Saccharomyces cerevisiae S288C: one gene and its partners. Changing the gene in region 2 together with the main gene of any one other region gives a genetic interaction. Each region holds a gene or a part of one and is shown on either strand. Other genes may lie near its edges. The genes, in order: COT1, CCC1, MMT2 and MMT1.

The links.
Region 1: of CCC1 (region 2) and COT1, extra expression of one rescues a mutant of the other (dosage rescue), as found in Saccharomyces cerevisiae (one study listed by BioGRID).
Region 3: of CCC1 (region 2) and MMT2, a mutation in one rescues a mutant of the other (synthetic rescue), as found in Saccharomyces cerevisiae (one study listed by BioGRID).
Region 4: of CCC1 (region 2) and MMT1, a mutation in one rescues a mutant of the other (synthetic rescue), as found in Saccharomyces cerevisiae (one study listed by BioGRID).

Annotation. Positions count from the first base shown.
Region 1 is NC_001147.6:904,744-910,942, forward strand, and holds COT1 (metal cation transporter COT1), read right to left. Parts: upstream 2,813-6,199; coding exon 1,493-2,812; downstream 1-1,492. Other genes in the region: SFG1 (Sfg1p), read left to right, coding at 17-1,057; YOR316C-A (uncharacterized protein), read right to left, coding at 2,983-3,192; long-chain fatty acid-CoA ligase FAA1, read left to right, coding at 4,600-6,199. UniProt on the Saccharomyces cerevisiae protein: Vacuolar transporter that regulates zinc homeostasis by mediating zinc transport and storage into the vacuole. Plays a role in resistance to zinc shock resulting from sudden influx of zinc into cytoplasm.
Region 2 is NC_001144.5:574,001-580,030, reverse strand, and holds CCC1 (Ccc1p), read right to left. Parts: upstream 3,207-6,030; coding exon 2,238-3,206; downstream 1-2,237. Other genes in the region: U3 snoRNA-associated protein UTP13, read left to right, coding at 1-713; RSA3 (Rsa3p), read left to right, coding at 1,007-1,669; MSC3 (Msc3p), read right to left, coding at 3,694-5,880. UniProt on the Saccharomyces cerevisiae protein: Has a role in both calcium and manganese homeostasis. Involved in the transfer of iron and Mn(2+) from the cytosol to the vacuole for storage of these metals.
Region 3 is NC_001148.4:124,882-131,350, forward strand, and holds MMT2 (Mmt2p), read right to left. Parts: upstream 3,208-6,469; coding exon 1,753-3,207; downstream 1-1,752. Other genes in the region: NEW1 (New1p), read left to right, coding at 1-476; ribosome-associated Tef1p biogenesis chaperone CHP1, read left to right, coding at 1,125-1,565; GRE1 (Gre1p), read right to left, coding at 3,751-4,257; FMP40 (Fmp40p), read left to right, coding at 5,281-6,469. UniProt on the Saccharomyces cerevisiae protein: Mitochondrial metal transporter involved in mitochondrial iron accumulation.
Region 4 is NC_001145.3:614,145-620,421, reverse strand, and holds MMT1 (Mmt1p), read right to left. Parts: upstream 3,857-6,277; coding exon 2,324-3,856; downstream 1-2,323. Other genes in the region: SPT21 (Spt21p), read right to left, coding at 1-564; FPY1 (flavin adenine dinucleotide pyrophosphatase), read right to left, coding at 1,119-1,943; ECM5 (Ecm5p), read right to left, coding at 4,447-6,277. UniProt on the Saccharomyces cerevisiae protein: Mitochondrial metal transporter involved in mitochondrial iron accumulation.

The DNA of each region.
Region 1 (6,199 bases), on a different chromosome or scaffold from region 2:
AAAAAATTTCAAAAACATGGATGAAATGCATTCTTCAGACACACTTTTGTTGCGAACACCGAAATCAAAAAAAAAAATTGGGCTTGTAATACCCAGTACACCAAGTAAAAAATGTAAATATTCATCAGGCTTTATAGCAGAAGACACTACGCCCTCCAAACGGTTTCGTTTATACCAAGCCAAATTTAAGACAAGTTCAAAGAATGTCAAAGCCCAAACTCTTAGCGTATCAATAAAAAAAAATCAAGGTGAAATCACCAATCCATTTATGACCGAAGGATATAATGATTACCGGAATATTGTCAGTCCTGGATTGAGTTTTGATAACGACTGCTTTTCAGAACATGAATTAGTTAGTCCATTGAGTGATATATCTTCGATAAACTCGACATCGCCTGATGTTGAAAAGATTGATTCTTTAGATCCTTTTGGCGTTGATTCTTTTGTCTGGAACTGTAAGCCGCTTGTTAATAAAGAAGCACTGGAGCTCCACCGAATGATTCATTCTTCGTTTCCGATGAGCCCACTGGAATCCAACAGTGATGTGCCACTTTTATTGCCTAAACTCAAAAAAAGGTTATCTCCAGTAAACAGATCGACCTTCAAGCCAACAAGGTACGAACCCTCTCACCGTCTATTGAAGCCCAAAAAATCAATTCTAACAGTACCAGCCAAATCTCTGAATCTCATAGTCAGTTCGTCGCGAGGCTCATTAAATGACGCTACCATCTTTGCCACCGAAATAAATTCTACTTTGAGCAATGAAGAAAACAAATTACCAGCAATTTCTAGTATTTGGGAGAAGCTCACAATTCCAGTAAACTCTTCAATTAAGGAGAAATACAAGAAGCTTAAAGACCAAATATATGGGCAAGCTAGTAATTTTGGCGAAGATGAAGATAATGAAGAAGACAATGAAGACGACCTTCCCGACGCGGCAGTAATAAGAGGTTACGAATTTCAGTCAGGAAGGCGCGATGAGCTGACGCAATGTAATGAACTACAGAGTACGAAGGACTACAAAAAAGTTCAGTGGGCAAAGGTTTTAGAACAATAACTAGGTTCTTTTTCTTCTAATTTGTTGAATTCTAAACAAAGGAGTTTTTTTTTATTATTTCTTAACAACTGGTCTTTTTAATTAAATGAAAAAAGATAACAGCATTATTGTGCTAAGTATTGTACTCTTTTTTAGAAGCTGGAGTAATCTAAAAAAAGCTAAACACCATTATTACTATTTTCCTTCCTCAAGTTGTTGTTTTGCAAGACTATTGCTATTATATTATTATTATGATCATCATTATTATCACCTGTTTTCGCTTTTCCTCTTTTTTTATATTATCTCCTATACTTCTTACTGTAACAAAATTTATGATAAACATTGTATAAAAACATTATAGACGACTATATATATGTGTGTGTGTGTATGTATATGTACCGTATAACGATTTTTAAAAGTATTTAATTCTTCACGCTTTTTCGTTATAAAGTCCTTTTAATGATCCTCTAAGCAATCAGCTGTGTTGCAGTTGGCAGCGTCGTCGATAAGACAAGTGGAACCTGAAATGCCAGTACCATATGTCTTTGGCCTTAATGAAAGCGGGTCATTTTGTAGATGATCACCTTGGGAGTCTCCGGCTCTTTCGGTTGAAGTAACCTCTCTGGTAATAAATTCAGGTTGCAAAGTAGCGGAGTGAATGCCATAGCGGTGAAGTTTTGATCTAACTATTTTGGCCAGGTCAGTAAATTGTTCCGGGCTGATATCTAGTTGAATATGCAAAGATGCAATAAAAATAGACTCTGTTAAATTCCAAATATGGAAATCATGAATAGCTATTATTCCTGGTATTTTCAAAAGATCACCTTCTACTTGATCGCCGGATAAAGTGGAAGGTGTCGCTTGTAACAATATTTTGGAAGCCTTGCACGATAGAGGAAGCGCAGAGGAAAAAATTATACCGGTAATTATCAATGAGACAAGCGGATCTGTATAATACTTCCAAGAATAGTCGGTCTTCCAAATGAAAAATGCAGACAACATAACGCCGATGTTGCCAAGAGCATCGCCCAAAACGTGAAGAAACACACCATGCATATTTAAAGATCTCTTGCGCTTGTTGTGTTCTGTGTAATTTCCGCCGCTGGCAATCGTATGGCTTGACGTTGAGTATGATGGCGTCTTGGATGCATTTTCCGGTGTCAATAATCTAGTATTTTCGTTCATAAAACTATCTACTATAGCATTAGGCATAATCTCACTAATGTTATCCGTACTATCCATTGGTGTAGTATTCTCTATTCCATCAACATGGGCATGTGTATGTGTGTGGGATGATGGCATATGCATCTCATGGTCGGCAAAGATACCGCCATGGGAATGTCCGTGTCCATGTCCATGCTCTTGATCATTGTCGTGAAATAAGAAAAGTCCAACGGTGTTCGATATCAACCCTGCGACACCCACATACAACACAAACTTAGGATTTTCAATCACGGGGGGAGCAATAATTCTTTGTAGCGCTTCTATCAAAATTGAGACACATAAGGCAATCAAAAAGACGGCGTTAATCAGAGCACCCAAAATCTCCGCCCTTTTCCAACCATAAGTGTACGTTGAATCCGGATTTCTGTTTTTGGCAACATTTACGGCCCAAAGTGCAACCACAAGAGAAATTATATCGTTTAGCATATGGAATGAGTCCGCGATTAGAGCCAAAGAGTGAGACAAGTACCCGGTAGTTATCTCGATCCCGAAGAACACTGTGTCTAGCAGCAACAAGGATATAATTTTTACCTGTTTGCTTCCGAGTTTCATATTTACTCAATCTTTCCGTACTTTGTGTTAACTTTCTTTCTATAGCTATGCAGAACTATTCTGAGCAAAGTGAAAATAATTGGTTACTAAATAGAACCAGAAATGCTTTTCGAGCTCCCACGTAGAATATATAAGACCAATAAATTCCTTTATTGTACGGATATTCTGCATTACAAATGAGTCTTCTGCTTTATGCGGATCGTCAGCTTATATTGCCTTCGTACAGAAAATGAAAATTCACTACTGGAAACGGGTGAGCGGATGTATGAGTGTATAGTATACACCCGGTTTTTTTTACCCTTTCTAAGACCGGAGCTGGCGACAGTAAGTGATAAGCGGCCGTTGGCGGCCGTGGGTGAGTTATGCATGGGAACCAGCATGAGCCAGCGATGTTCACTATAAAGAGATTAAATGTAGAAAGTGCTGAGAGACCGATCGATTGGTAAACTTTTCAAAAGGTGGCCTTCTCCACACTTTCTTTTTCCCTCGTTCACTCTGCCTTGATCACATGCTTTTTTCTATGGTTAACTTTGAAAAATTCGTTCCATATCGCCCGCCACAAGTTAAAACCAGATATGCGTGGGATATAGTAGGGTGGACTGTTAAGTTAGCTATAATGGGCTTGTACTCTTTTTGAATACAAAAACCACCTTTCTACACCTTAATACAAGCGGTGGTTGGAAAGCATTCTTGATATATATAATTATATGAGTTTTGAAAAAAAGTACTGGGCATCATTTAAATAAGCGGGCTAAACTTTGTTTATGTTTAGGTTAACGATAGACATATTTATTTTTTTTTCTAGGAATAAAAATGAAGAACGGGAAGAAAAGGAAAAATGAAAATGAAGAATATGAAGAGTAAACCTACTTAAAAAAAAAAACCATACTTTAGTATTTAATGTAGCTACCACGCGTATTCGATACACTATTATTTTTCTTGACTTAGTATGTCAATTGTAGGTAGCCTCATGATGCCCTCTTGATCTAAGCGCGGTGAAAGTCCGCAGGCAATTGCTATAATACTGACAAAATTTATAAGGGGAGAGGGTCTTTTTTCGGTCCGCACGGAGCGGGCGAAGAAAACGTAGCGGTGAGAAAAGAATACGTCACCAAAGTATCAGAAACGTCACTGCGTTGTAGATGTAAGACCGATCCACTTTGCCAGCTGCTTACGCTGCGGAAAGTAAACAGACCTAGCTAGCGGACCGATAGAGCCGGCTGAACTTTATAACAAATGCGCCTTCTAACAAGCGATGAAGCCATGCTTAGCGCGGCAAAGAGAATTACTTAGAATATGGATGATGCAGCCCTGTCATATTCTTCCATAAGGGAATGACAAGGACAATAGTAAAGTCGATCACGCCCTGTCAGGAACATGATCTCCGCCATGTGAATATTTATGCATGATACAGGCACGAATACATCATATAATACGAATGACACAGGGGCACCCACCCATCGCATATCAGGAGAACTTCCCTGTGCATACGGGACAGCAGAGATAGGCTGTTCTCGCGCGTTTTTTTTTTTTTTTTGCTTTTTTTGGTTCCTTTCGCGGATATCGTATTATCGATATTACAACAAAAATGTTTGGAGATCTCCTTCGCTGTCTTTAAGTAAAAGGCTTTAACCGCTTATTTTTCTCTCTTTTTTTCCTTTTACCCCTCACTTGTCGTGAGACAATTGTAGTATATTTAGTAAGTATAGAAAGTTCTTGTTGTTAAAAAACTCGTTAGGATACAATAAAAACTAGAACAAACACAAAAGACAAAAAAAGACAACAATATGGTTGCTCAATATACCGTTCCAGTTGGGAAAGCCGCCAATGAGCATGAAACTGCTCCAAGAAGAAATTATCAATGCCGCGAGAAGCCGCTCGTCAGACCGCCTAACACAAAGTGTTCCACTGTTTATGAGTTTGTTCTAGAGTGCTTTCAGAAGAACAAAAATTCAAATGCTATGGGTTGGAGGGATGTTAAGGAAATTCATGAAGAATCCAAATCGGTTATGAAAAAAGTTGATGGCAAGGAGACTTCAGTGGAAAAGAAATGGATGTATTATGAACTATCGCATTATCATTATAATTCATTTGACCAATTGACCGATATCATGCATGAAATTGGTCGTGGGTTGGTGAAAATAGGATTAAAGCCTAATGATGATGACAAATTACATCTTTACGCAGCCACTTCTCACAAGTGGATGAAGATGTTCTTAGGAGCGCAGTCTCAAGGTATTCCTGTCGTCACTGCCTACGATACTTTGGGAGAGAAAGGGCTAATTCATTCTTTGGTGCAAACGGGGTCTAAGGCCATTTTTACCGATAACTCTTTATTACCATCCTTGATCAAACCAGTGCAAGCCGCTCAAGACGTAAAATACATAATTCATTTCGATTCCATCAGTTCTGAGGACAGGAGGCAAAGTGGTAAGATCTATCAATCTGCTCATGATGCCATCAACAGAATTAAAGAAGTTAGACCTGATATCAAGACCTTTAGCTTTGACGACATCTTGAAGCTAGGTAAAGAATCCTGTAACGAAATCGATGTTCATCCACCTGGCAAGGATGATCTTTGTTGCATCATGTATACGTCTGGTTCTACAGGTGAGCCAAAGGGTGTTGTCTTGAAACATTCAAATGTTGTCGCAGGTGTTGGTGGTGCAAGTTTGAATGTTTTGAAGTTTGTGGGCAATACCGACCGTGTTATCTGTTTTTTGCCACTAGCTCATATTTTTGAATTGGTTTTCGAACTATTGTCCTTTTATTGGGGGGCCTGCATTGGTTATGCCACCGTAAAAACTTTAACTAGCAGCTCTGTGAGAAATTGTCAAGGTGATTTGCAAGAATTCAAGCCCACAATCATGGTTGGTGTCGCCGCTGTTTGGGAAACAGTGAGAAAAGGGATCTTAAACCAAATTGATAATTTGCCCTTCCTCACCAAGAAAATCTTCTGGACCGCGTATAATACCAAGTTGAACATGCAACGTCTCCACATCCCTGGTGGCGGCGCCTTAGGAAACTTGGTTTTCAAAAAAATCAGAACTGCCACAGGTGGCCAATTAAGATATTTGTTAAACGGTGGTTCTCCAATCAGTCGGGATGCTCAGGAATTCATCACAAATTTAATCTGCCCTATGCTTATTGGTTACGGTTTAACCGAGACATGCGCTAGTACCACCATCTTGGATCCTGCTAATTTTGAACTCGGCGTCGCTGGTGACCTAACAGGTTGTGTTACCGTCAAACTAGTTGATGTTGAAGAATTAGGTTATTTTGCTAAAAACAACCAAGGTGAAGTTTGGATCACAGGTGCCAATGTCACGCCTGAATATTATAAGAATGAGGAAGAAACTTCTCAAGCTTTAACAAGCGATGGTTGGT
Region 2 (6,030 bases):
GTTCGTTTATTAATAAGCAAAAACAACTGATCAGTTGTGGTGCTGATGGCTTGATCAAAATATGGGATTGTTCTAGCGGTGAATGTCTGAAGACTTTGGATGGTCATAATAATAGATTATGGGCTTTAAGTACTATGAATGATGGTGATATGATCGTAAGTGCTGATGCAGATGGTGTTTTTCAGTTTTGGAAAGATTGTACGGAACAAGAAATAGAAGAAGAACAAGAAAAAGCTAAATTACAAGTCGAACAAGAACAATCGCTTCAAAATTATATGAGCAAAGGTGATTGGACAAATGCATTTTTGTTAGCAATGACTTTAGATCACCCAATGAGGTTGTTTAATGTTTTGAAAAGAGCTTTGGGCGAATCAAGGTCTAGACAAGATACCGAAGAGGGCAAAATTGAAGTCATTTTCAATGAAGAATTGGACCAAGCCATCTCTATCCTAAATGATGAACAGTTAATTTTGTTAATGAAACGATGCAGAGATTGGAATACAAATGCAAAAACACATACCATAGCGCAAAGAACAATAAGATGTATTTTGATGCATCATAACATAGCAAAATTGAGTGAGATACCCGGAATGGTAAAGATAGTTGATGCAATAATTCCATACACGCAAAGGCATTTCACAAGGGTTGATAACTTAGTTGAACAAAGTTACATATTAGACTACGCGCTAGTGGAAATGGATAAGCTATTCTAGGCAGTAAGTCCAAGATATTGAGCCTTTAAAAGCAAGGCAATAGCAACATATTATTTTGTAAACTAGATATATAAAGACAAAATGCATTGATGAAGCGGAAAGCTTAAAATAATTCGATATATAATTAGGTGCCTTTACGGGCATTGAAAACTTCTTTGCGCGAAGAGCTCATCACTAAAAATTTGCAAAAAACGAAGAGCGAAAACTTTCATATATTGTAGTAATATATACAAGAATTTAAACTGCCCACTTGAAATAGCACGGAAAGAACTAGCCATAATATATTATACAGGATGTCGGCAGGTGATATATCAGCCATAAATATCAAGTCTGTCAAAAAAAACAGAAGGAGGAAGAAGAGAAGAACAGCTGATGTTTCATCATCAGATTCTTCATCATCGGATCCATCATCAGAAAGTGAAAAGGAGGAAATCCAAAATGGGGCCATCGAAGAACACGTTGGAGAAAATGGTAAAAGTGATCATGTTTTCTCAAAAGGTAATGACGAAGACAAACAAGAGGACATTGCAATAGAAGTTTCGGATGTCGAGCTTACAGACGAAGAAAGCAAGGATTTGAAGTTAAATTCAAAAGAAGTGATAGACGATTTAACCAAAATTTCTTTGAGCAAGATCCCAGAGCCTACGAAATCTCAAAACAAGGAGGGTTTTATGAATGCATCGAAAATTGCCGAAAATATCAAGCTTGCGAGAGAAGAATACAATGAATTGGCAGAAAACTTTGTGCCCAAAGGGAAAGACAAGACAAAGTTAAGGGAAGAATACTTAAATTTACTTTTTGAAAACTACGGTGATGATATCAATCGTCTTAGAGCTGCCCCGGATTTCACGAATAAATCACTATCCATTTTGGCAGATGCTCTGCAGGAAGGCATAGGAATGTTTGATATTGGTGAACTAGAATTGGTCTTGAAAAATAAAGAAATGGAGAACTGAAAAATATTGCTTTAAATCTTTTTCTAAAAGTTTGTCATGTTTCCGCGGAGAATATATTGACGTGCACATTAATTATTTAGATAATTCTTCGATTTTTAATGAAGAGCGGTCCTGATCCAAGTTGTGCTTCATATGGTATAAAGCTGATTCCAGTATACTGCACGAGAAGTATATGTATGTATTTTGTAATTTATATAAAGGCAAAAAAAAGAAAAACACTTGGGCATAATGGAGGAGAAGATCTTATGACCTGATAGTCAAAGAGAAAAAGAAAAAAGCAGAAGGAGCAAAGAAAGGCGGCGACCAAATGACGAATTAGATCCAATGAAAAACGATTCAATGCGAATAAAGGTTATCATGGATCACCTGATGGGCCTCTTGGCAATAGAAAAAGAAACTAGTTTGAAATTCATTAATATAAATAAATTTAAAGAGGAGAATATAGAAACAAATTAAAACGTAAAAGAAATGTATGTCGAGAAAATCCAGCCCAGTTCCAAGTATATAGCAAAGCTTCTCAATCCCAAATTTCTTTACAATAAATATGTATAGTGTTGTTACTTTACACTTAACCCAGTAACTTAACAAAGAACCAAGCCGCACCTGCTGCTACACCACCCACAACAACCATTTCAACACCTTCCGTAACTTTCTTTGAAGTCGAACTGCCACTACCCATGGATAGTTTTGTCTTTACGTAACCAAACCAGAATAATGTTACAACCATGACTATTATAGAATAAATGAGACCTGTGCCCACATCTGAGACAAAAAAATATGGCACTAGTGGTACTAGCCCACCAAGTAGATAACCGCCACCGATAGTGACTGCACTGATTAGTTCTCTATTCTCGGCAGGTTCGTCTAGACCCCTACCGTACCTGATAATGAAGTCAACCATTAGCTCAGGTGTTCTTTGTAAATCTTTGATGAACGAAACGATTGTTTCGTCCGAGAAATTAGGGTTAATCTCTAACAGAATGTCTTCAATTTCTCTGTTAATTAGGTTGGAGTTATCGTAAAATTTCCTTTTCTCCTTCTTTACTTCAGCATGATAATAATCAGATTCACTCTTCGCTCCCAAATAGCCACCAAGGCCCATAGAAATCGCACCTGAGATCAACTCAGCAAAGCCACCGGTAATGACCAATTTCGCATCACCAAGTGAAGATAGACCAGCTGTTAGAGCAAAGGGGACGGTTAAACCGTCGCTTAGCCCGATAATCAAATCGCTAATTACGCGAGGATCTACTGATTGGAAGAACCCTAGGTTCGCCTTTTCGTTATCCGAACCGTTATCGCCATTCCTATTATCTTTCCCTACTGACATCGGTGAGTTTTCTAGATCCTGCGCTGAATTTCTACCATAGATAATATCCGAGCTAGATGAGGATAAGTTATCATGCCTTGAACTATTGCTATTACTACCCCTCAACAAGGGAGTTGATTCAGACCCCCCCAACTCTGAGGTTCCACCACTACCTTTCGCTTTCTGTATAAGGGTCACCACTGCGTTCTTTAGTGCTACAATGGACATAATATTTGTGTGCACGAGATATGGGAGGACAAAAAAAAAGTTTCTTTGTTCAATATACCAATAAAAAAAAAGAGTCTAAAGGCTTCGTTCTGTTATATTTCTATTCTATAAACCTAAAAAAAGCAAAAATTGAGAGTGATGTCGCTTTAACTTGATTATTTGAACTATTTTGTTTTGTATCAATTTTTCATATATAATCTTAATTTTACATCTTCATTGTGAGACATTCGGGCTAACAAAGAAAACAAAAAATGCGGGTCACGAAAGGGGTACCGAGCCAATGAGAAGAGGGTATGTTAGTAATATTAGTGAGAAATGCGGCGCGATTGGTCCAGACCGAAAAAAATCAATATTATTAAACTGTAAAAGTTATATTAAAAATTAAGTTACATTAGTAATTGAAGTTCACAAGAAGAAAAAGAAGAGAATAAATCTAAAACCAGGCTTCAAAAATTAGGGTTGATTGCAAAATTCGAGTAAACAACTGCTAACGGCTGCTTTTTTTCTTGAACAGTTTAGTGAAGAAACTGGACTTCTTGTGCTTCGTGGGAGGATCTTGTGTTTGAGCCTGTATTGTCTTAGTGGCATGTGTCGAAGTGACCATTGTTGGCTCAGCGGCAGATAATTCATTCGTCGATGATGTTGTTGGATCCGTGGCGTCTTCCTGACGCTGAGGGGTTTGGTCCTGTAAAAGCGAAGAAGAAGACTTTAGATTATCCTGCAGTTCCGGTGATCTTGTTCTCGTTGTTGAAGCTACTGCGGAGGTAGGTACATTGCCCTGACTTTGCCCATTCGAGGACGCAGTAGTCGAGTCTATTTGTTGTTGAAGGGGTGAAGGTGAATCTGTAACTACTGGATTCGTCATCACACCTTCGTTTGAAGATGGCTTTGCGGTTGTCACACCTTCCGAAATAGACGCTGCTGGGAAGCTTTCTTCAGCATTACGAGTAACTGGAGTTTGTTCGCCTTGTTCCTTCTTGTGCTGGTAGCCGTAGTTTTCTTGAGAGAATTGCAGCACTTTATCGAACATGGTTTTGAACTTATTTTTGGAAGAACCAGTTGTTTTTGTCTTCTGCAATGGAATGGGCTCGTATTCATGCACTTCGCTTTGGACTGGAATTTCAGAATCCCCTAAATAGTGCTGCTCATTGGGCGGGATGCTCCCAGTGGATCCCAGATGGCTAACGCCGACCTGACGAGGTTTAGCCGCCGTAGTGCTATTATCGACTGCTTCAGGTTGAATACCATGTGAGTTGTAATACCTCGCTTGTGCGATTTTCAAAGCTTGGTCATACATTTCTTTATCTGTTAGCCCTGTGTTTGCACTTTTAGGCTCTGGAACTGGGTCAACAGCCTTATTCGATTTAAAATGTGTAGACACAGAGTGATTGTGCACTTCATGGGGGGCGCTTTTAGTATTTCTGCTGAAGAAGGAACTTGTAAATCTTTTTGGTTGAACCTCGACATTAGATTTGACAAGATTAGCAGTCGCCGTCGGAGAATCACTACTGCTTCTCAAGGTCATTTTTTGACCCATCCTACTTTTCCTGGATTTGTTACTCCCGAGGGGGGCCGATGCGTTATCCGAAGCAGCATCCGTGTGATAAACGTTTCTTTTAGCAACCTCTAGTGCCTTCAGATACATTTCTGCTTCGGTTAATGGTTTCTTGGCCTCTGCTTCTGCGTTTTTCACGGCAGGCGGTCTTTTCTTCCTTCTTGTCGTCGATGCTTGCTTCCTTTTATTATGAATATATTTACTACTGGTCTGATGGGTGGGAGGAATATAATCTAATGCGTCACTGAAGTTTGATAAACTACTTTCTTCTTCTAGAGGCATAACGTCTGTAGAATACTTATGGTGGAAATATGATCCAAGTGGGAAATCTGGTTTTTCCACGTTTAGCTCTGAATCATCTTGTAAATGACTTTCGCTTACTGGGGAATATGGCTTTTCGTTATCTGTTTCGTTTTCCTCGATTATATCGTGAATGTTATCACTAGCTTGTTCCTCTAAAATGTCGTCATCTTGCAACATGTAATTTTCACTAAATTCATCGAAATGACGCTGCGAGTCACCTAATGGAACCAAATTCTTAGTCGTAGTCGTGGTTTCTACGTATTCATACCCATTTATTTTTCTTATTGTCTTTTTGGTAATTGATTGAGTCCTTCCTGAAGGGTCTGTTACTTGTGTAGTCTTTACGGTAATGGAGTTGGCCCTTGAATCGTTATTGTTGCCGGCCGTCGATTTGTTCTTACCGTAGTTTCTTCTGACATTCGCACCAGACGTCATAGAATTCATACGGCTCCCATTAGTAGTATAACCGGGCGGGTGTAAATGGTACTCTCCGCTCCTTTGCGACCTCAACGAGTAAGTCTTCTGTGAATACTGCTTAGCTGCTGCCCTGGACGTTGGCGGAGCGGCAGAGGATGTGGAAAGCCTTCTTCCTGGGCTCTTTACCGAACTTCTTTGTCTCGGTATTGAAGGTGCATGACTAACCAGCGAGTGCGACCTTGAGTAATTGGTTCGATCCGGTGATGCGGCAGAAGCAGCAGAGGCAGCAGCAGCAGAGAGCTGAGGACTTTTGTTATAATCTTCATGGTTCTGATAGTAGTAATCATACCTAGATAAATCAGGTACCCTCCTGTCCCTCTTTGTAAAACCAAATACCATTTTCAACTTTCTTGATCAACAGAATGTCTTTGTTTGTTTATTCTAGTGAAAAAATAGAAGTAAAAAGCAATCAATATAAGCAACGTGAAACGATCGAAGGAAACTAAAAGAGGTTTGATGTTAGAAGAATTGATTAACACCAAATCAAGC
Region 3 (6,469 bases), on a different chromosome or scaffold from region 2:
TTAAAGTCGTTATTGCCGGTGCTATGTGGAACAACCCTCATTTACTTGTTTTGGATGAACCTACCAACTATTTGGACAGAGACTCTCTTGGTGCTTTGGCCGTTGCTATTCGTGACTGGAGTGGTGGTGTCGTTATGATTTCGCATAATAACGAATTTGTTGGTGCTTTATGTCCTGAACAATGGATTGTGGAGAACGGTAAAATGGTTCAAAAGGGCTCTGCACAAGTTGACCAATCCAAATTCGAAGATGGTGGTAATGCTGATGCCGTTGGTCTAAAGGCCTCCAACTTGGCCAAGCCATCTGTAGATGACGATGATTCTCCAGCTAACATCAAGGTCAAGCAAAGAAAGAAGAGATTGACAAGAAATGAAAAGAAGCTGCAAGCCGAACGTCGTCGTCTACGTTACATTGAGTGGTTGTCATCGCCAAAAGGTACACCAAAACCAGTTGATACTGACGATGAAGAAGATTGAAAGCCTACTGGCTAGTGTTTTATCTTCGCTAACTTCGTTTGTTTCACTCCATCTTTTTTCTTTAATTCACTCCTCAAATGGAGTTTACTACGTTGATAGAATTTAGGACAAGCATATGACGCTCTCCTTCCTTTTTTGTTTTCTAGGTTAATTCATTTTTCATACAGAGTAGTTAATATTGGTTCTTTTCATATATGTACGGTACGCAGATTAATTATGTAAACTTAAACTTAAGGGATCCTTTTTGATGCTAACAATTGTCGATGTTGAACTACAAATTTATGTAAGAGGTCGTTGTTAAGGATTATTATTTTAAAAATACACGAAGATTGATTATTATTTCTTACATGAGGTTATGAATCGTGCTCCAAAAGTATACCAAAAATAACTCCTGAACTGCTAGGCACAGTTTGCGATAATTTAAAGGGGTTAAATACACTTTTACTACTGGCTTTCACCTTATAAATCCCTCATTAAACTAAAGATGAATGAACATTGTTGAAGAAATTGTCCGGGTAAGAGGTTGTACTAGGGAGTGATGAACATCCATAAATTCTTCGACTAGCAGAAGTAATGATAATTTTCACCCGTTAAAGCTACATCTGGTTAGATGGACTAGAAGAACCACGACGAAACAATCATATAACAATGTCTACTTTTAATGCAGAAACCGCTGATAACTTGGAAGATATCGAGAAACAATTCGCTGTTGTTGCTGTTGAACAAGCGGAAACATATTGGAAACTATTAACAAGTGTTCCCGGTTCCAAGTTACGTTTGACTAAGTTTGATGACGAAATATACGAGAATTTTATGGAGAGATTCCCAGAATACAAAGATGTTGAAAGGGTCAAAAAGTTTACGGAGGAAGAATTAAAAACAAAAGAAGCCAAGGAAAGATGGAGAAAGTTCTTCACAATTTTTGAGAAAAAAATCGAAGACTATAACTTTGGTACTTTGTTGAGGACAGACGCTTCAGCCGAGTATGGTCAATTTACTACTTGTTTTGTCGTGAGACTACAATTTTACGCTTTTGAAATTGCTAGAAATAAACACGGCTTGAACGATTGGATTGTCGGTCAGAAATGAACATGCATATATATTTGTGATTGATTATATAGAATACATTACTTTATACAAAGGAACAACACAAGGCATTCTTCCTTGTTCAACATATATATATATACATATATATATTAAGCTCAGTAAATTGTTGAAATGTGAAAGGCTGTACTTTTGCTCTTAACTTTTGAAAAAATTCATCATTGAGAATTCCCTAATGTTTATGGGTGTGAGTATCGGCAGAATCAGAATGAGTATGAGTATGATTTGTTGATTTAGTGTCATGAGAGTGCTCCAAATCACCTTTAGAGTCAGAGGTTACATCAACAAACTCGACGTCCACCTTCCCCACGTTTGGCACCTTCATACGTAAATCCTCTCTTATAGTCGAAATAGCGTTTTCCAAAAATCTTATCCCAACTTCCTGACCTGAATGTAATACTGGCACTTCCAAAGTTGTGGTGGCACGAAGATTAGGACCGGAAGCTAATATAGTAAGGTCTCTAACATGTAACGACTGTTTGAGATCTAAGTCTGTTTTCAAACTGCCAATGCTGTCTTTTATGACAGATTCGATTTCTAGATAACGCGGATCAGTAGGTGGTATAGATTGGTCAACTAACTCCTTCAGTGAGGATAAGATACCTTGTCCACCTGTTTTTATGATCAAACCTGACACTACAAGCCCACCTAAATTATCTAAGGATTGAATGTTGAAAAAATAACTAGATGTGATAGCGACCAACGCTACCAACGATGTCAAGGAGTCAACACGATGATGCCAGGCGTTTGCCATTAGTACATTAGAATTTGTTTGGATTGCAACTTTCTTTGTTGCCTGAAAAACCCATTCTTTAACCAAGATAGAACCCGCTGCTATCCATACAGCATTTACATTAGTTGCCTGTTGTGTTAGCGACTGAGAATGGGAATGCGTTTCACCAATTAAACCGGCCATCGATTCTAGAATGGCATGAGGAATGACAGGCCCCACAATAGCGCATAACGACGACCAACCGATAGATATACCAGCCATTGCTAAGATTGTGGATACTGCCAAAGATCCCACAGTTTCCACTTTACCATAGCCATATGGGTACTCCGAAGTTGGTTTACGAGACGCATATTGGACAGAAAACAGTGTTAAAAAATCAGATACCAAATCGCTAAGAGCATGTACGGAATCAGCAAGTAATGCTTGAGAATGAAAAGTGATTCCTCCTACAAATTTTCCTACTGCCATCCCCACATTTGATGCAAGTCCTATCCATGTTATTCTTACGCCAGGATTCTTCTTGATCTGCTGTACGTTCAGTGACAATAAAGGATTGTCATGCATATGTGTGTGGCTGTGACTATGAGTATGTTGCAACAACGACTTCACAGAGGAAGCCTTGCCTTCCTTCTTTCCTTCACTTTCATTCTGTCTGGAATTCGATCCATTCTGTGAAGACATTTTTGAAATGAGCTGTTCATTATAGCCCTCTTCTTGACCTTCTTTATTTAGCAGTTTCGAAGAATGCAGGCACCTTCTCGGGTTGGCTGAGATCATTGTACTGTACAGGCTTGATGTTCTTATGGCCCTCCCGGCAGCATGGTAACTAGTGTTGTTATAACCTGGCACAAAGGAACCGAATTGCTTGATAGAGTCAATACTTATCCGTAGCATATCTTTATTGCGTTTGCTTTTTTGAGAAAGTAATTGCTTACACGTTCTAGAATAAAAAAGTATGGTTGTAAGAACGCACTTGAAAAGGCACCAATCTGCTCGGGTTTTTACAACTAACACTAACCTAGATGAGAGGTAAAAAGAAATCGTAAAAAAAAGTTGTTGCCCAGCACAATAACGACACTTTACCCGCTAATTCCAGGAGGTTTGAGTTAGACAACGACCTTCCCACCCCGTTTTCCCATAATTCTATTGTTATACACCTGGATCTGGAGGTCCGTGAAACGGCATACCTCGACGAAAAAGGTCACTACTAATCAAATCAAACTGACATTAATAAAAACGTATAAACTGACAGCTGTAGATCTAAATAAACTAGATTAAACATATGAAATAGTTTGTAAAAAGTGGCATCATGACCAATAATAGGTCCAGATGAAGAAAAAAGAAAAAAGAAGACGAAATTAGGGTAAAATTTCTCACTTGCTGCTCAAGGGTGAGACCCGCACCTCAGGCATGTAATAGAAGCTTCGACCACCGCATCTACCAGACGCCTTGGTTCCCACTATCATCATCATATTCATCGTTTCCTGACCCAGACAGATCGCGTCTACCGCTGCCGATATTAGAGGATTGGTAGCGGTTACTTTGAGCACCTCTTGTACGACCTTGTTTTTGCTGTTGGCCCGAAGTCAAGAAGTCATCGTCTTCATCGTCGTCCAACTGACCTTGAGTGTTAGTTTCGCGGTAAGTTTGGGTATAAGTGCCACCACCAGTGCCGGCAGTGTAGTCAGTAGTTTGTTGCTGGAAGTCGTTACCGCCAAACTGCGTGTTACCGCCTAGATTAGACTGTGGCTGCTGGCGTTGAGGGAAATTCCCTTGGTTTTCTTCGCCGTAGGGATCGGCCTTGGATCCTTGATTCCTGAATTCCCTCTGTTGATGTTTTTCATGACGCTGTTGTCTAGTCTGGTCGTCATTGTCGTCTTCGTAACGTTCATCATGATCGTTGCCGTGCAACTTATCAGCAAACTTGTTTAATAGATTGGACATTTCTTAATTGTTATTCGTACTTAGCTTTTATGCGGTAGTGTTTGGCTCTGCTGCTAGTAGATATTAAGAGTTGAGGGTAGGTATGTATCCTTTTTTTGATGAAATAGTAATGTGCTTTTATAGTCCAAGAAATATTGACTGCTTCAAGGGAGCCTGATTAACAAGCACGTAACGGAGACCAAAAAAAGGATTTCGGTCTTTTCTAACCATTTCCCTTTACTCCCTTGTGCGTTATTTGTTTTGATTACTAGGCATGATGTATGGAGGAACTTGCGATCAAATGTCATAAAAGTGGAGGAGTGAAAAGAAATGACGAAGCCCAAAACGTGGTCCTAGAATTACCACATTTCCTTTTTCTAAAGGAAGCCAGACTATGCTTTACGCAAGAACTGTGGTTAAAGAGGGATATTCTGATGAACATAAATTCATACACATTCATGAGAAGCACGACAAGGATTGGTTAATTACTTACAACTAAGGCAAAACTGCCATTGACCTCATCTGTACCACCACATGCTGTGTAGTTATTTTCCCTTTGTGATCCCTAAAAAAGATGGGATCTACACACCTTACAAGAACATCCTCAAACCCATACCTGGAACCACTGAACATATTCTTCCCGTGAAAGGCTCTACGGCGAAACTACTGTAATGTCACAGGAAATTAAGGATGCTTCGACTATGGAACGGACCATACATGGGGACCCGATGTATAGAAAGCCTCAATGAGGCAAAGAGTCTAGCTCCTTTAAGATACGTAATTCTCCTTCTGTTTTCCCTTAATTATTCGGGTGAAATACCACATGGTCGCACGGCTGACGGGGAACTCCGGAATTGGACGATGAAGAACTTAACGGTGATATGAGGTGATCGTGGAACAAAACGTTGTGCCAAAGAAGCCACAAATACGTCACTGTAATTATTCTGCCTGCATAAAAAGAGCCATCAAGGATAAGCTAGAGACTATACTCCGGAAGTAGAAGAAGGAAGGTGTGAGAAAGAAGATAGAGCGTGTAACACAATCATGGGGGAAAAAAGGACAATAATCAAAGCGCTGAAAAACTCTGCAGCGTCCCACTTCATCAAGAAGTTGACCGCAGATACTTCCCTGTCGTCCATACAAGAGGCAATAAACGTCGTGCAGCAGTACAATGCAACGGATCCCGTGAGATTAAAGCTTTTCCATACGCCTCGGATGGTTTCGCAGGGGGCTCATTTTGCATTTTGTTTGCCCACTAAGAAACCACATTACAAGCCATTACTGCTTTCGCAAAACGCACTTGATGAGTTTAATTTGGTGCAGGATCAGGACTTGGAGAAAATACTATCCGGTGAGAAAGTATATTATTCCGATAGTATCTTTCCCTATAGTACAGTGTACTCCGGATTTCAATTCGGCTCATTTGCTGCACAGCTGGGAGACGGACGTGTGGTAAACTTGTTTGATCTTAAGGACAAGTGTAGCGGACAATGGCAAACGTTTCAGTTGAAAGGTGCCGGTATGACGCCATTTTCTCGGTTTGCAGATGGGAAAGCTGTGTTAAGATCAAGCATACGTGAATTCATAATGAGCGAGGCGTTGCACAGTATTGGAATTCCATCCACAAGAGCTATGCAATTAACTCTGTTACCGGGGACGAAGGCGCAAAGGCGCAATCAAGAACCGTGCGCTGTTGTATGCCGTTTTGCGCCCAGCTGGATCCGCTTGGGTAACTTCAACCTATTCAGATGGCGGCACGACTTGAAAGGGTTGATCCAACTATCAGATTATTGCATTGAGGAATTGTTTGCTGGGGGGACCCAATTTGAGGGGAAACCCGACTTTAATATATTCAAAAGGGATTTTTTTCCTGACACTGAGACGAAGATTGATGAGCAGGTGGAAAAGGATGAAACTGAGGTGAGTACCATGACCGGAGATAACATTTCCACATTGAGCAAATATGATGAGTTTTTCAGACATGTAGTTAGCTTGAATGCAAACACAGTGGCCCATTGGCAAGCGTATGGGTTTGCTAACGGTGTTTTGAATACGGATAACACCTCCATTATGGGCCTGACAATTGATTATGGCCCCTTTGCCTTCCTGGACAAGTTTGAACCAAGCTTTACCCCGAACCATGATGACACAGCGAAGAGATATTCGTTTGCCAACCAGCCAAGCATTATATGGTGGAACTTGCAACAGTTTGCCAAGGATCTCGCATGTCTGC
Region 4 (6,277 bases), on a different chromosome or scaffold from region 2:
TAGTTTAACCTCCAAAGTTTCTTCCGGAATTTGGTTGTTTACGACCCTTCCCTTTTTATTCGAGATGTTGCTATATGATCTTCGTAGTAAAGCGGAAACATTCGAGCATACCCTTCCAGTAACTATAAAAGATTCATCTTCATACTCTTCTTCAGTTACCTCATCTCTCTCTTCACTTTCTTCTTCACCAATATTGTTTTCTGTATACTGGTAGGGGCTATTCTTATGAAACTTTTTTCGAAGCCCGGAAAGAAGACCAAGGCTTACTAATGGCTCATCCACTTCACATATGTCACGATAATACAAGTTATAATCATATCCATCTTTTAAAGTGTCATGGTCTAACACTTCAGGTGAATTTAAGTATATTTCATGCAGTATAGTCTTCAAATGGATGGCGCCAATTCGCAACTCCGTTTGCTCATTCGAATCTGTCGGGAATGGACTAGGAATATTAGCAACTCTTACCTGTTTTGGAGCCCTTGAGCGGGCTAAATAACTACCATTGGATCCATTATCCAATGTGTAAAGGATCTTCAATGTCATTTGAGAGAGTTCAGACATTTTACCAGAGTCTTTTGTTCAAGTGAATACCAATTCCAATCCAGGTTTCAGTTGCACCTGGTCAAATTGACTTCAGTTATGTGTGTTGACTAGGTTCAGCTTAAGCGTTGCTTATAAAAGAAGAGATGTAGTAAAGCAACAAACTCACCACGGCTCAGTGCAATTCCCAAGAACCGAACTCTCCATTCAATGGGTCTTTCTCTTCACACACACCTTTTTTCTAACGCGACGCGTTTTTTTTACCTTTTTTATATCACGAAAAAAAACGCGACCGTAAATGAAGGTTTTTCCTTTCATGGAGCAGTTGTATCTATTGAATGAATTATATACCTTTTGCTGGTTTGGTCCTTTCGGATATGCATTTTTCAAATGTTTACTTTAGCGATTGAAGCTCTAACAGTAGCAATGTGATCTTTAATTTTTCAAGGTACCTTTCTACCACGAGCAGTGTACTTTTTTGTTGAGAAGAAAGCGCAACTACCGGCGATGACTGAGATGACTTTGCTCCCAAAAAAAAAATCTATATCTATACATAGTTCTAAATACTCGGGTATTCAGCTCTCCTGGTTCGAGAACTTGTTTTCAAGTTCAGAAGAAATTACTTCTCCCTCGAGGTTATTAACAACTCTATTGACAATACTCTTCAGATATGAATCGTCTTTCTTTTCACCCAAAATACTAACTGTATTGAATCCCATACCAAAATGTGGGTATGAGCCTATTTTAATGGCTTCTGAAACTTTTGTTGATTCATCCTGAATCAACTTTAGCTCTTTAGAAATTTGAGACTCAGTTAGGTGTGTTCTGACAAAATAACGAACATACTCACGTGGATCCTTGTCCAAATTATATATTTTTTTCAACGTGGGAGTGAACGCTTTCAGCATCCTTGCAAATAGTTGAGGGATACCGGGTAGTATATACATTTTGTGAGATATAGAACAAATAGGTACCCACAAGTCATCACACACATAATAATTTTTGACGTTTGTGCCTTTTGGCATGGTTGCCATTTGGTAATGCGCCTTTAGAGCATCTGCATCAAGCCTTGCTTCAGGGTCAGATTTATGCCTCATTCGTTCTTTGCATTCTTCATCTAGTTCACAAGGCAAATTAAAGCTTTTCGCCATACATTCGTAAGTGATGTCGTCATGAGTGGGGCCGATTCCACCTGTACTGATGATAAAATCATAATTTTTGACTAATCTTCTCACAGTATCTACGATCTGGGTTTCATCATCCCCTATAGTTGCAATTTCTTTTAATTGAATTCCATGATCAAAGCAATACTTCGCAAAAAAAGTGGAATTTGTATCAACTACTTTTCCATTCAGCACTTCATCACCAATTATGATACAAGCTGCAGTTACTTTCACCATTATACCCTTGACAGTATATACTTTGCCTCCTTCAGTAATTCTTTTATGTCATTATTATCACCAGTAATGACTGCTATTGTTATATCCCTCGCTCTTTCCTTTTTAGTCTCTCGGGCAGCCATAGTCGTTTTCCACGTATATTTTTAATAGAGAAGATCCTAAAACATTCAGTTAGAGTATTATAGTTAATGATTTATTTTATAAATAGTAAATGCAATTTGTATATAAAACGTACATAAATCAAATAGTAGGTATACGTGACAAATATAAGCGTATTGTCTTTCCTTTTTTTTTTTGGCCTTTTTGTAATTGTGAAATGCGTTTCGGGTATTTTCGACATTTCCCTCTCTTCTTCACTTGTTATTATTACTGTGGGAAGCTCAAATATGAGTATTCGTATGGTCGTGCTTAATAAGAACATCTTCTTTGTAGTTTTGTTGTCCCTTGATATGCTCATTTTCCTCACCATTTTTTTCTTCCACGTATTCAATATCCAGTCTTCTCAAATTCGATACTTCATTGGTTAACACATTACGTAAATGATGTGTCACAATTTCAAACTCGTTAACACCTAAAATATTGCCCCATTTTTGTAAAGGAACTTCCAAGGTTAAATGTCCGCGTAAATTCGGTCCTGAGGACAGTAACGTCAGTTCTTTCAATCCATAGGGTTTCTGAGAATTATTATTAGAGATCAGTTTGTTCAACGTATCTTTAACCAAAGTTTCTATCTCTAGGTAGCGTGGATCATCACGAGAAACTGACTGATCGATTAACTCCTTTATTGCGATGCACATACCCTCGCCACCAGCCTTGATAATTAAACCAGAAACAATTAAACCACCAATCGTGTCTAATGATTGTATATTAACCAAATAACCAGTACTGATTGCAACCAGAGCAACAAGAGAAGTTAATGAATCAACACGGTGATGCCAAGCATTTGCCATTAGTACATTTGAATTAGTGTTGATAGCAATCTTTCTTGTGGCTCTAAATATCCATTCTTTAGCTGCAATGGAAGCGGCGGCAATCCAGGCTGCGTTGATATCAGTAACGTCTTCAATAATGTCTTCAGAATAAGTATGAGCATGACCTAAGTTTCCTATGGTGTCAATGATTGTATGTGGGATAACAGGCCCTACGAGTGCACAAAGGGAACTCCAACCTATTGATATACCAGCCATGGCTAATATTGTTGAAACTGCCAAGGAACCAACAGTTTCAATTTTGCCATACCCATATGGATAATCAGCGGTTGGCTTGTTGGCTGCTAGCCCTACCGAAAGCAAAGTCAACAAGTCAGAAACCATGTCACTTATTGCGTGGATAGCATCCGCAAACAACGCTTGTGAATGAAATACGATACCTCCAAAAAATTTACCTATAGCAATACCAACGTTTACACCTAAGCCGACCCATGTGATTCTTACGCCTGCATTTTTCCTAATTTGCTCAGTACTAAGTACTAATAATGGATTGTGAGCAGCATGAGAATGCGTATGTCCATGAGAATGTGTATGCGAATGCAGATTCAACGACGAAGGCTTATCAGCTTGCTCACATTTACTGCTTTTGTAGTCTCGTATCGTGCCCAATGAAATTATGTCGTTTTGCTCGGTCTCTGATTCACGTAAATGAACATGATCATGACTGTTGAATGCTTCAGCTAATTTTTGGTATTGAGGATTTTTCTCCAATTCCTTTATTGCAGCCTTTTCAATTTCAGCTTGTCTCTTTAACTCGTTTATCTCAACGCGTACTTTATTAGGGTCCTTTTGGTTTATTATACTGCTCTTTTCAACTTTTACTCCAGTACTTATGTGGAGATTCTCCTTCCTTACTAGTAATGCTGGACGTACTTGTGAAAGAACGATCTTTATACAGGGCCTTTTTACGCAGATTCTTAACATTGTCAAAAATGCGAAAAAGAAAGCGATGTTTGTGTGATGCAATAATATATAAATCAATAAATTTAAACTCTCAGTTATTTAGCGTAAATGAACAAAACCACAAAAAAGAGCTCTAAGTCGAAGTTGCCAAAAGTCTTAGGGTTCCTATAGATGGTCAATTACTTGAAGTTGTCATGGAAATGAGCTTTTTTTATTTTTTTCATACCTCTCGAGAAAAATTGCCTTGGCGCGTTCCTCCTACGAAGGAAAGCAGAAGAACAATTGTTACGTAAGGAAAGCTATCAAGAAACGGTAAACACTTACTAATAAACATCAATATTGACAGCAAAACGCGCTTTTCCACCTTCGAAAGGAGCTCTCCTAGATTCTGGGGTGTCTTTTTTTACCGGGATTATGCTGGATGGGAAACACCCAATACTGGAGTGTCAACAATAGGTAACTACTGCCAACCATAGAAAACGTCGTAGAACATCTGAGTATGAGTAAACGAGGTATGCGCAATAAAAGAAGAGAGAATATGTCATGCAGACTTCGCAGGTACATTTTAGATAAGTAAATAGTGATTTTAATCAATAAGATAGTATTACGTTTCAATTTGGAATTCCTGTGATTATGATTCTTCCATTATCTGTGAGCCATTTAATTGCTTCTGCATCTTTCACCTGACAATGTTTCCTTAAGGGATCCGTCAGATTAGTAAAGCCGCATTGTGACCCTTTTAACTTTCTCAAGTAATACTTGATCTTGTGCGTAGAGGACAATTGATTTACATAACCGTTAGTAAATAGTTCTTTTTCCATTTCATTTTTGAAGTTCAAAGCAAACGCAAAAACGTCAAAGAGATTCTTCAAGATAGGGGGATCTGGAATTAAACTTAGCTTCAAAGATTCTACTAAGATCCTCTTCAAGTCGTCAAGCTCAAAAGTCACACCTTCGATATTGTCAACGGCCATACAGGGTGGTGTACATATCGAGCAAACAAATAAAACGTTTGGATCATCAGGTGGAACCAACTCACCGTTGCTAATACAATCCACATGATACCACTCCTTGCATATTTCACATTCGACCATTGCAGTACCTTCTTCAACCCTTCTACAAAAGCAATATTTCGTTTGGCGCTTAGAACAACTTTCCAAAGGAATGTATTTGTCTGACTTCAAATCTAAACATCTAAAAATCGACGGCAGTATCTCAATAAATTTATTTTTTTGCATTATTTGATCCAAGTGCTGGTTCCATAATTTGAAAACTTTTAACTCCTGTTTGGCTTTCACTGATCCTGAATTATCACTGGCCAGCGGTCTCTTATCTAATCTCGAACCATTAAACTGGTTCGCAAACTTCACAAATTTAGGATCATTTTTCCTGATGAGTTCGTCTATTTTATCAATATTATCAGTGTTATAAAGAATATTCACATCGTTCATTTTTTTTGCATTTTCAATTTCTCTAATAACATAATCAAGCTCACTGAAAAAACTACTTTGTATGGGTAACCGATATTCTTCTATATCTAATAAAACGTCTTCTAAATCACTTAGCGATATTTTTGAGGGTGGATCCTTTTTTAGAAAAACTCGAACTTTCTGCATCATGTCCTGATATTTTAAAATCAGCTTTCTCACTTCCCCTAACTTATCTATATCTTCCGAATCACAATATTTCAAACCAAATTCGAAGTAAGAATATAACAGTGGAAGTGAATATTTCGCAGGGTCTTCATTCTTAATATCACATCGCTCAATGAATATATGTTCATAAACGGATAACCATTCAAGCCTACATATTTTTCTGGTCAACTTAGTCCAATAAGAAACCTTCAACGGGATGGTTAACGATTTCTGATATAATTCCTTAAGCAAATCTAGATTATTGCCATCAATAATATCTCTATTATCGATAGGAAACTGCCGAGATACGTGATACAGTCTGATAATTGTCGGCTTTTCTGAAAATTCAATTGAGCACTTCCGCACACTTTCATACAAGCTCTCCAAATTATCAGCCATGTTGTCAGAAAACTTAAGCGGTAGATGACGTAAATTGAAACCGTTTCCGAAATCTACATCTTTAACAGAACAGGAAACATCCACGAAGGTCTTAATAAACTTTTTACATTTCTCAATAAGTAGTAATGAATCATCAAAATTGGAGCGTAACATTCGATTAAACTCAGTATTACTATCAGTATGAGAGATCAAATACTGTATTATATTTAATGGCACAGTTCTATTTCTAAAAGTAGAAGTCATTAACACGTCCCACTTTTTTTCAAAATCTTCATTGTGAACAAGCAGATAAGAAGTCGGAGGCTTGTCCAAGCCATCGAGAGCAATTCCTAGGCTTGCGCTATCAAAGTATGAGTGCAAACAAACATTGAGATTACCAGATTGATCACGTATTGGGATGCCACATATA